Linked DNA regions of Drosophila melanogaster. The protein of the gene in region 1 interacts with the protein of each later gene in a pairwise test. Each region holds a gene or a part of one and is shown in the gene's direction. Other genes may lie near its edges.

What was found.
Region 2: the proteins of CG13088 (region 1) and Hey interact in a two-hybrid assay, tested with the Drosophila melanogaster proteins (one large-scale study listed by BioGRID).

The regions. Positions count from the first base shown.
Region 1 is NT_033779.5:8,487,052-8,492,969, forward strand, and holds CG13088 (uncharacterized protein), read left to right. Parts: upstream 1-1,929; 5' UTR 1,930-1,979; coding exon 1,980-2,157; intron 2,158-2,214; coding exon 2,215-3,134; intron 3,135-3,189; coding exon 3,190-3,297; 3' UTR 3,298-3,495; downstream 3,496-5,918. Other genes in the region: dachs, read left to right, coding at 1-630, 694-851, 919-1,164; CG43400 (uncharacterized protein), read left to right, coding at 3,775-3,900, 3,959-4,171; Dh31 (diuretic hormone 31), read right to left, coding at 5,616-5,751, 5,916-5,918.
Region 2 is NT_033778.4:7,994,938-8,000,955, reverse strand, and holds Hey (Hairy/E(spl)-related with YRPW motif), read left to right. Parts: upstream 1-2,677; 5' UTR 2,678-2,863; coding exon 2,864-3,123; intron 3,124-3,536; coding exon 3,537-3,751; intron 3,752-4,492; coding exon 4,493-5,295; 3' UTR 5,296-5,518; downstream 5,519-6,018. Other genes in the region: CG11191 (uncharacterized protein), read left to right, coding at 1-75. UniProt on the Drosophila melanogaster protein: Transcriptional repressor which acts as a downstream effector of Notch signaling.

The DNA.
Region 1 (5,918 bases):
TCCACACCAGGCTAGACAATTTGCTGAGAACCCTGGTGCACGCCAGGCCGCACTTTGTGCGCTGCATCCGAAGCAATGGAACCGAGGCGGCTCGCAGCTTTGATAGGGCTACGGTGGTGCGCCAGATTAGATCCCTGCAGGTCCTGGAGACGGTCAATCTAATGGCCAGTGGGTTCCCGCATCGCATGCGCTTTAAGCAGTTCAATGCCCGCTACCGTATGCTAGCCCCATTCCGCCTCTTGCGCCGCAGCGAGGACAAGGCTCTGGAGGATTGCCAGTTGATTCTGAAGTACGCAATGGAGCAGCCGCCAGTGCTGGATGGCTCGGTGACCCTGGCCTGGGCACCTGGCAAGCGTCATGTCTTCCTTAGCGAGGGCATTCGCCAGCACTTGGAGCACTTGCGCACCGAGATCAGGCACAAGAGCGCCACCCTGATGCAGGCCACCTGGCGAGGCTGGTGGTGGCGCAAGAAGATGGGCAATGGCGGGGCCAAGCGCTCCAAAATCCCAGGTCTTCAACAGGCGCCACTGCCGAACAACAAGACCACGCCGAACTCCGCCGCACAGAACAAGGCCGCATCCTCCACAATGGCCGCCCTTGCCGCTGTGGCAGCTGCTGCTCCCATTTCTGGTGAGATTCCCCCACGGGTATACCCATTCTCCGCCCATCTAATCCCCAAACTCTATGATGCAGTACCACGCCTCTCGGCCAAGACAACGAGCCTGGGCATTGGAGGCACTGTGGCCAGACCAAGGCCACAGCCCATTGCTGGGACTCCTCCGCCGGATCCGCAGGAGAAGTGCGACCAGAAGATCATTCAGCAGACCTGTAACCTGTTTGGACTCGATTTGGTATGTGTTTTCTATTATTATTGCTTGCTTGATTTTATTGAAATATCCAACTACTTTTATTTAACAGGAACGTCCGCCGCCAGTTCCGCCGTCTCGTTCCTACACGATCACCGGGAATTCGAAAATAAGCTATCCCCAAAACCGGGTCATGAAGATGAACTTTCCAGAGGAGGGACAGTCGGAGGCGCCGCAGCTGAAGAAGGGCGAAGCGGTGACCGTAGTGGGGGCCTCCACCGTTCGGGGTCACCTGATGGTGGAGCACAAGGGGCAGAGCTTCCACGTTCCCTTCCAGTTCATGACGCTCAGTAAATAAGGACTACTGGTGGAAACAAACTGGTTATGATTCCATTCATTCCATCTGTTCAACTCTTCCTGATTTTAGACATCCCATTTCTAAAAGACTGTAAATATTCCATTTGGTAGATTAAATAACAAGCATTCTGTCTACGAAGCGCATGCTAACTGAGGTGCTCTAATTGGCCCCTAACTTACGTAGTATTATTATTGTCGCGTTAATAAATAAACGCCAATCGATAGGTTGTAGCTTCAATTACATACCCACAAGTGCCAATCAAATAAGTTCTTCCACCTAATTCATAAGTATTTTACATGTTACTGAGATTACATTATTCGCCGTTAAGTAATTAGTTAAGTAAGTTTCAACAACGACATTCATTTTTTATTTTTGAGTTCACTTAAGAATTGTGAATTTTATTAGACTAAGGTTCATTTTGTCATTCAAATAAACGAAGCATGCATTGAAATATTTAAATTATCTTATTTTATTTCATAAAAAGGAGATGTTTCTGCAAAATAAGTTAATTTTCCGTTTATGATAAGAAAACGAGTTTGTTTTGGTCTGCTAGAAAAGGAAGTAAGTATTCCTTAAATGTCCCATAAATAAACTAATAAGAAAAATAACTTCACGATAAAAGTTCTTTTTTTCGCGCGTTCATTTTAAATATTTTGATACGTTGATTCTATATACTAATAGTGTTGGAAATTGCCGCATTGCATTCAAGCAGTTCAAATCCAAGTAGTTCAAGTCTCAAACGGCAAGCATGCAAACAAACAGCTGACAGTATTTGTTTTTGGTAATCTCGTTTTGAACAAAAATTTCGATGTGAGATGGAGCAAATAAATGAAGATGTTTGGATAGATATACTAAAGTACCTACCAATGAGGGATCAGTTGTCGCTGGTCGAAGTCAACGAGAATATATCGGCATACGTGAAGTATCATTGGAGTCATCTCAAAACAGTGACTCTGACCCGCGAGGATCTGGATTTTCTGGATCGGAATAACAGTTAGCGCTGATGTTATAAATTCGATCCATTAATAATATATGTAACTTTTAACTTAGAGCTGATGCACGAATGTCTGGGTGGCTGGTCGGCAACGGTGGAGCGTTTGAATTTGCAAAGTGCCAGCAGTGATCTGCTGAGAAAGTGGACGGAATACGACTTTCCCCACCTCCGATCGCTCGACTGCCACATGGACTACAATCTCGAGGAGGCGGACGAGGAAACCCTTCTGCTAACCGAGCTGTTCCCGCTCTTGACACGGCTGTCACTCAATAGCAGCACAACAGGTCGTTACTTGTGGCACTGGAAGCAACTAAGGGAGTTGAATCTCACCTGGTGTGAGTACCTGGACCCAGACCACTTCGAGGAGATCTTTGGCAACCTACAGCTGACCAAGCTGACTATGCTCTATTACGGATATAACGTGAACCTAGGCGAAAAAGTTGTGGACATAACGCGATGTACCACGCTTGAAGAGCTGCACATCGATGACCACCATTTGCTGGGTGATTTCCTGCCCCGACTGATGAATCTGCCGCACTTCCGCCGCTTGGCCTTTTACACGCGAGACTACTATGAGTATTTGCTAGGTTCGGTGGCCAGGCACAAGCCGCTGAAGGTTCAATCGCTTCTCTTCAACGACTCTTTCTGGAGCAGTGAACGGGTGGCGGGAAGTATACTGCACATGACCAATCTTCGTCGGCTGGTCCTGCAGGAGGATGACATCGATGCGCAGCAGCTGCACACCATCTGCCACAAATTGCCAAACTTGGAGGAGCTACACCTTTTGGCGATGCGAGAAGTTCCGTCTCCCAGCCACCTGTGGAACTCTATAGGTCACTGCCATCTTCTTAGGATTCTTAACCTATCGTCTACCAAGCTGGTGGACCTCCGAAGCTCCTGCCTGACAAAAGTTCTGCTAAGTCGCAGGATTCCACTGACCCTGCATCTCCACAACACTGGATTGGATCCTAGTAAAGTAAGTTAAGCACAACATATTGTTCAATGACTACTAAGTTTAATTATCTCCGTAGGTTCTACGGGATTTTGATAGTGCCTCCTTGAAAATCTCCTTTGAGCCGATCCATTTGAATATTTGGAGTCCGCGATTTGTGGAAATCGAATTCAGTCCAGACTCGTAGTAGTCATTTGAAAAGACTTAAATGACATTTCTACCTCAATCCGTCCGGTATACGAATATATATGTAGATGGAGATCCAAATGATATATCCTGAGTAAAATGTTGTACCCTTTGCAAGGGTATAGAGTCAAATAGCTTAACAAAACCACAAAATCTTTTATCTGTCTACCTACCAAAATCGTATTAAATTCAAGAAAATAATCATTTGTCTTTTAAACTTCAGACGTACTACTTTCGATTTTTAGAAATTAAAGCTTCAGATGTAACAACAAATATAGGCTGCTAAGATTTCACAAGAACAATAAATAAGAATGATAAGTATTTATCTTTATTGGGGCCAGTTCACCAAGCTTTGTTTACCTGCGAAACCGAAATGGATAGCAAACATTTTGCCTCAAGGCAGTTGTGCATTAGAACTCCTTCAGTACGGTTACCATTGGTAATGGATCGGACAAATCTAAATGAATTGAAACATAAAATGCGTCGGATTTTGCATTGTGGACACAATGAGACTGCGGAACTAAAATACAAATTGTTTGAAGTTCAAAAAGAACTGGATGAAGCTAATGACTTTATTGCCGAAATAAAATTTGAATTGGATAGTGTAAGGTGTTGCACATCCACATTCGTTCAACATGTAATCGACTTCTATCTGAGCATAGGTTGATATACTGGCACTCCAGAATCAGTGGCTGCGCGATGAATTGATGATGCTAAAGGCCGAGGAGATGGGTGTGATTCATAGGGACTTGGAGGAGGATCCAGCAACTCAAAGGGAGCGTCGCAGCTATCGACAGCAAGTTTCTGCTGGAATGGTGTCACCTCAGCTTGAAAGCCCACTCCAGGAGCAGCGATACGGACGCAAACTGGATTAAACTAATGGCTGATTACATTGCTCGAAATCTGAATTTATTTATCATTAATGATATTGTATGATAAATCTATGCCATTAGCCGCTTCCGACTACACGCAAACCACTTAAAATATAAGACTTATCTTTGTTGTCACACTTCATAAAAGTATATTTCTGAATCAGAGAACTGAAATAAACTCAGTATTTGATAAAGATACAACAAGATAAACTGCGCCTAATTAGGTTTACATTTTTTCAGTTAATAATTATCGATTCCCACTTTGACGCATTTATATTTGCACAAAATATATATTTATGTGTCTACGTTTAATTACACACCTATCCCATTTATTACCAACTGCGAATTGAGTGTGTTGAAATTTATGGTACCTCAAAGTCCACTTATCTGGCCATCTCATCTGACCTTTCGAACTCCATGCATAAATCAGTCGATCCTAACTCGCCTGTAAATAAATAAAATCAATTGCATTTGCAGCTGGCTAGCTTTCTTAATGGCTGGTTGGTTCGATTTGTAATGCATTTGCAACTCCCAAACGGAAAGATACATTTTATGAGCTCAGAGTGCGTCAGGTGTGCGAAAGATAAATTGCTTATTTCCAAAATGGAGGAACCCCCCTTTAAAGAAATAACGAAACTCAAACCAGTTCTCAAAATGTAGACTTTTATTTGATCGTGTCCGACTCACGTTAAGATATATGTTTGCAGCATAGACACAATAATTATTAAATATATATGCAAGTAGAATTCCGTAATATATTTGTATCGCATTAGTTGTACGTGTGCTTTAATAATTTATATTTACAATACTTAAAAGTCGCGTGAGACCAAGTTGGCTATTGATAAAATAAACTTTCAGTTTCGTTGGGGTTTTTTTGTTTTTGTTGGCTTCATTTTGGGGGCCAAAAGTGTGTTGTTAGCATATAAGTATGTATATTTGTGTAGATCTTTTTTTTTAAATTTTTGTTAGTTTATGTAAGACATACCTAGTTAAAGATTTTTTGCGCGATTATGCTTACACTTGAATATATATTTAGGATATATTTATTTAAATTTCTCCCTTCTCTCTTTACCTTTCTTCCATATTTTCGGGTTAAAACGAGCAATTAGCACTGAGTTAAATCTGGGATGAAAATTTGCATAAATTGTTTTCAACATTTTTTCTTTCGGAGCAACAGTTTAACGCTTTTATTCGCCTTTGGTATATATAATTTCGATATCTGTTGAATATTATTTTCGTATAACTCTTGAAGGGAAAAAAAATTTTGATGAATTGCATGAGGACATTTCCGTAATAAATATTTATGTACAATGAATAACAAACAATTAAACGTAATGCAAATGAAAGATCTAGGAAAGTATCAAAGTATGGGCCAAGTTTAGGTGGAAAAAGTTGACGTTCGTCCTCAACGTTCACAGGATTCGCAGCCCGGTCTCATCCAGACGCCTTAGACATCGGTCTCGGATCGTCGCCTCCGACCGGGTCCTCCGGCAAAGTTGGCTGCAGCCAGACCCATGCGATGTTTCGCCTCCTGGGTACCCGAATATCCCCGGGCCAAGCCAAAGTCCACGGTTCGTTTGGAACTTTGGAAGAGAAAGAAGTTTAGCAGTTACAAATGATTTGGTTAGATTAGGCTCTAACAATTAACCTTACTACTGGTAGCATTTAAATGAGTAAGAGAACTTTAGTTGCACATATGTATTAAACAATTTCTAATTAGACAGTTATATCTGTCTTCAATACTTACTTC
Region 2 (6,018 bases), on another chromosome or scaffold:
CTCAGCCTGGAGCTGCACCGACACGACAATGCAGTAGGCGGAAACAACTGCAATCTTTGCCTTAGGAGCTTCTGAGACCGGAAACGGACACTCGGCGGCTTTGTAACCTCCACTTTGCGTCCAGCGATAGAGCACGAAAACCAGTCTTGTGAGAATTACCTACATACGAGTATATTATACATATATGTAATCGAGTATTTGAGTCGGTAGACCGCAATTTTCATTATAGAAAGTTGTTTTCGAGAATATCCATTAACAATAAAGTGTGTATGTGTGTGCGGCGCCATACCTTTGGCTCCATACCTTGAGTAATGCACTTCAGAATGCGAATACGAATGCGAATGCCCTGTGCCCCGTGGGTGGGAGTAAGTTCATCGCCCACCCATCCATCCATCGATCCATTCCGGCGCACGACCCGCACGTGTGCTGGACGCTCGTGAGAATCCGTAGACCTTTGGCTTTCCCACGAGCCACGGCTGCGATTTCGTGGGTTCGTCCCGTTGTCGGTGGTGCAACTTGCCCGCCACTATTCATCCACTTGATTTGGGGTGGGTTCCGGCGATTCGGAGCGAGTTTGTCCCACGCTGGCACTGCCACTGGCATTGGCCATTAGACATTAGGCATTTTCACTTTGCTGCTTGCCGCACTCGAAACCTGAGCGACAGCATGCCGAATCAAATGAAAAGCACTTTTTATAATTTTCGATTTTGATGTACGTTTTTGAAATTGATACGGGGCTCCATTATAGTCAAGCTTACGCCTCGACCATCGAAATTAATCGAGAAAATGGGAGAAATGCTACACTAAATCATTTTGTGGGGGAGAATAACTAATGATATTTCCAGTTATATGCGAAATTGCAACATATAATAGTAAAGGGATATAAAAGTATATACAATAGTATAGGGATTCATATAGCAATATTGGGATTCTTTAGGGTGACAGGACAAAGGAGTTGAAATGAACATTTTAACATAGATATCTACAGAAGAATTATTTTTGCATAACGATAATTCAAGTATAGTTTTTATTAGGGAAAGTTATGTCAAACCACAACGTACATATATATGTAAATATATCAGCTCCACCGTATACTGTTTTTCATTCGCATTTTAATTGTTTTTAATCTACTGCTAGCTTTAAACACACATTCCGTGCGGCTGATATAAGAAATAATGGGAAATTTTGGATGAAATAGTTTATCATAATAAAATTTATAGGTAATATTGACATTGATCAGCTTGTTATATTGAATTTATGAACACAATACTGTCAAAATATATTACATTAAAGTTAATGGGGAAACATTAACCAAAACAGACAGAACGTTAATTTCGATGTTAACTATCTCAGCTTGTAAAATCATTAGAAAAACTGACAAATTTTGGTGGAATAGCGATCAAAGCTGTCAAAAAAAATAGTGAAATCAAAAATATCAAAACATTTTTCAAAAGTTTTAGATTGACAGCTTGTGGCCATTAGACTGGGAGTGGCCAAAATATTTTTAAAAAATATGACAATTTTGCAAAAGTATGGACGTGGCAGTTTTAGCCGGTTTGTGTCCTTAAGAGTAGGCGTTGCAATCTTCTGTAACAATCTAGCTCTTAATCCTAGTAACTAGTTTTACATTCATGCTTTTATAGTTCCCGAGAGCTCAGCGTTCATACAATTACAAGGAACAATTAAGGAAGTTATAAGATTAGCCAATTCAGCAAAAAATTTAGAATGGATTAAATCATGTGAATATTCGAAATGCAGTGACAAAGCGCATCTAAGAGTTTATAATGGCAAATCAAAAAGATAAAGAAAAAGATAAAGCTCACGTCTGCTTTTTCGTAAAATTGTACAACATATTTACGTTTTACCGTCGCCATCCAAGTTCCTTATATCCCTTTGTGATGAAACGCTGCTTTCGATAACATTAAAGTGAATTATTTCCGCATTAGCATATTTCTAGGTAAACAAGTCGATTTTACCTCGGGCAATTTCTAGGTCAACTTCGGTCACCTGCTGCCGCAGTCGTTGTTATCTCGTCTCCTGCTCCTGCTTCTGCACCTGTGGATGTTCCCGTTCCCATTCCGGACCCGGGATGCCGCAACCTTGAGCCGGCACTGACCTAGAACTGTGTGGGCCACCCACCAGCACGCGTCCCACTGCACAGATAGAGGTCAACGGCGGCTGTTGCACTTGTTGGGGCTTTACCCGGCGCCACGCGATGCCACACGACCGGCGCGTGCTCCAGTTTGAGTTCCATGGACGGGTGCAGCCGCTCCAGCGGCAAACAAGTGGACGGCGGACGCCGCCAGTTTGTCGCCCACGGCGCCGATTAAAGGCCGTGCTGCAGATGCTTTAGATGCTTTAGATGCTTTAGAGGCTGCTGAAAGGCTATATCAGATGGTCGGGCGATACAATCGGATGAATCGATGACAGAGGCTTGCTCATTTGCCGGCGCTGGTCGCTCCTTGTCGCACACTCTCACTTGCTCACTTGGCGGCGATCGCCGCGCGGCGAATATGTTTGCTTCCCGTTTCCTACCCCAATCTCGGCAAGCACGCGCTGCGCGTTGCCAGGGGGTGGTTGCTGCTGCATCTTATTGGACGGCTGCCGCAGGCGGTAAAAAGGGGTTGAGCGGCGGCAGCGGAGGGCAGGTCGTCCGCTCGACGTGTGCTACAGAATCAGTCGAACGCCGTTCGCGCACACGATAAGTCACGTGCTCAAACTAGCTCCGCCAGCCCGGTCTAGCCGCCAACTGCATCTGCCTCTGCAACTAGCAGCACGCAAAGCTACAGCTCAGCAACAGCAACATCAACACAGTAGTGTCAAGTGCGCAGGAGCAGCGAGTAAACACTGGTCACCACACACAATGGATCACAACATGCACGTCAATGCGCCATCGCTGCATCACTGGGGCTACGCCGCCGGACCCGGCGTGGTCATGCCCGGCGCCACCGCCACCACACCCCAGAGCCACTGGGTGCCGCCGCCGCAGAGCCACCACAGCGCCCACAGCAACCACAGCCACGGGCATAGCCAGGGCCATAGCCACGGCATCGGCAGCCTGAAGCGGACGCTTTCCGAGAGCGACTGCGACGATCTCTACTCCGAGGAGTCCTCCAAGGAACAGTGCGTACTCGTGACTTCTTATCAAAATTTGTTTTTCAATTTAGTGCACAAAAAGCTATTCGCAGTTCCCAAGTTAGGAGTTGTCTTGTAAAATGAAACCTTTGAAAATACCATGCGATGTGCAAACGTTTTATGTTGCTAAAAAAAATAGTGCGTCATGATATTTACTTAGTGAATCGAAGTCATGGATAACTCCACTTAACGCAAAGTTGCTGATAAACCATCAAAATATAAATCACTAAACTATAGGGTTTTAAGAAAAGATAGATTTTAAAATGTTCTGTAACTTAGAGGTTTTTTTAGTAACACCATAGAGTGTTTTTCAGTCTATGAAAGATTAAGATATTAAGATTAAGAATCTATCATTAACTTCAATCCATAGCTAATAGAAACCCTTTCCTCTGTTCCATTAGAATCTCGCCCAGTGAGCCGGGCAGCTGCCAACTGATGAGCCGCAAGAAGCGACGCGGAGTGATCGAGAAGAAGCGGCGGGATCGGATCAACTCCTCGCTCACCGAACTCAAGCGCCTGGTGCCCTCCGCCTACGAGAAGCAGGGATCCGCCAAGCTGGAGAAGGCCGAAATCCTTCAGCTGACCGTGGAGCATCTCAAGAGTCTGCAGTCTAAAAGTAAGTTTACCAAGCCCACTTGAGCTAGCTTAAAGAGGTTTTAAAAAGCAAATAGGCTAGCTGCACCACAGACCTCCTCACTGAAGTTAAACGCTTCTATGGGTCATTAATCACAATAGGAGCAAATAGAGGGTTAACTTGGGCAGCCAACTAAGTTGGTTAACTAAAAGAAGTAAAGTGTAAAGAAAGTAATTTCTTATTTCGACAGTTAATATTACATTAGGGCCCATTTAGCGCACTAATTAATCAAGGCATATCTGACATACATATGAACTTCAATACATTATAAAAAATTGGAATGGGAAAAACTGCAAGCAGAATCCCTAAACGCAAGCCGCTGTGGGAAACAATTGAGTAACGATATTAAATACAATATGCGGCAAATTATCACAAATCTGGGTAAACAATCCTGACCTGTTGTCCCGAACAGGGTCGAATTGTGGGAAAATTATGATTGCCGTAGGCAAAGCAGGACCACCACCACCAGCGCCAGCCTAGCGCTCAAGTGAATCTCGAATCTCGGGGCTTCCCACGCTCAGTAGCGGCACCACCACGATGGCAACCTTGTAGCCAGGCGCGGGCTTTCACCCCCCGATAGCCACCTCACAACAAGCCATCCCGCCGAAGGACATGGGGGTTGTTCTTTATGCTCGTCGCGTGGGAACAGCTATTTTAATTGTTTGCCTGAACTGGGATTAGACAGCTTATTGACTTTCTCCACCTCCTCGTATCTTGTTGCAGCTCTCGACTCGCTTAGCTATGATCCGCAGCGAGTGGCCATGGACTACCATATCATTGGGTTCCGCGAGTGCGCCGCAGAGGTGGCCCGCTATTTGGTCACCATCGAGGGCATGGACATTCAGGATCCTCTGCGCCTGCGCCTTATGTCCCACCTCCAGTACTTTGTGCAGCAGCGCGAACTGTCGGCCAAGAGCTGCGCCAGTCCGGGTGGCTGGTCTCCGGCTGCTCCCAGCTCCTCCGGCTATCAGCCAAACTGTGCGGCTGCTCCCTACCAGAGCTATGCGGCGCCAGCCAACCCGGGTGCCTATGTGTCCAGCTACCCCACACTAAGTGCCTCGCCCTCTCAGCAGGCTCAGCAACTGGGAGGACGCACCAGTGTCTCGCGGACAAGTGGAAGTGCCGTAACTGAATCGCTGCCCAGCCATGATCTCCACTCTGACAGCAGCAGCCAACAGCAGCAGCAACAGCAGCAGCAACAGCAGCAGCAGCAGCAACACCAACAGCAGCAGCATCAGCAGCAACAGCAACGGACGCAGACAACACCTCAGCCGACGCAGCAGCAACACTATACCCACGACCACAGCGCAGTGCATTCCGAGCAGCAGGTTCCCACCTACATAGAGCTGACCAACAGCAATCGTCCAGCGGCCATAGGTTCCGATAGCCTTAGCTATAGTGCTGCTCCTCAGTATCCGGTCAGCGGACTGCCAGGCCAGGACTACAACAACTCCAGTGTGCTGCAGTACGCCACTCCCAACGGAGCAAAGCCCTATCGTCCTTGGGGCGCCGAGATGGCCTATTGATTGTGGGCATAAGCCTCAGAAGGGATATTTCAACCTCTAGTCAGAGCAGACCAAGTGTGATAGTCTTAAGTTTCGCATCCTACACAGAGAGAAAAAAATGGAGAAACAACGCAGTGAGATTAGCTAGTCCCGTAAGCCTTTAAGCTTAAGTTATACCCTATGATAACTATAACTTTGAACACTTTGTGAATCTATTGTAAATAAACGCATGAGTGTATAAGTGAATATGTTGAAACTCGCTTGATAATTGATATTCGGATCAGGAAAGCCTTTCTAGTTGTTATATTTCGTGAAATCTCGACGTTCATACAGACGGACAGACGGACATGGCCAGATTGAATCAGGTATTGATTCCGATCAAAAATATATATATAATATATAATATATAAGAATATATATAATCCACGAGTAACGGGTATAATTATTAAAAACAATCAAAAAAGTTTAAACAAGTAGTGACGATCCACATTCAAAAATTTGAGGTATATCAATGACGCATACTTTGATTAGTGCTATTATTGGATTATCAGAGAAAATATTAATTTTAACGAACATTCTTGAGGTGCGCTTTGTCACTGCGAGGACTACCAGTTCGCCGTCATAGCGGCTGAATTATCCTTAGCTAAATGGGAACAATTCGTTGCAGCGAAAAATTTACCGAATTCTTTTTAGTTTTACACGTCAGATAGCTTAGGGTTTCTAAAAAAAAATTCCAAGAAATTA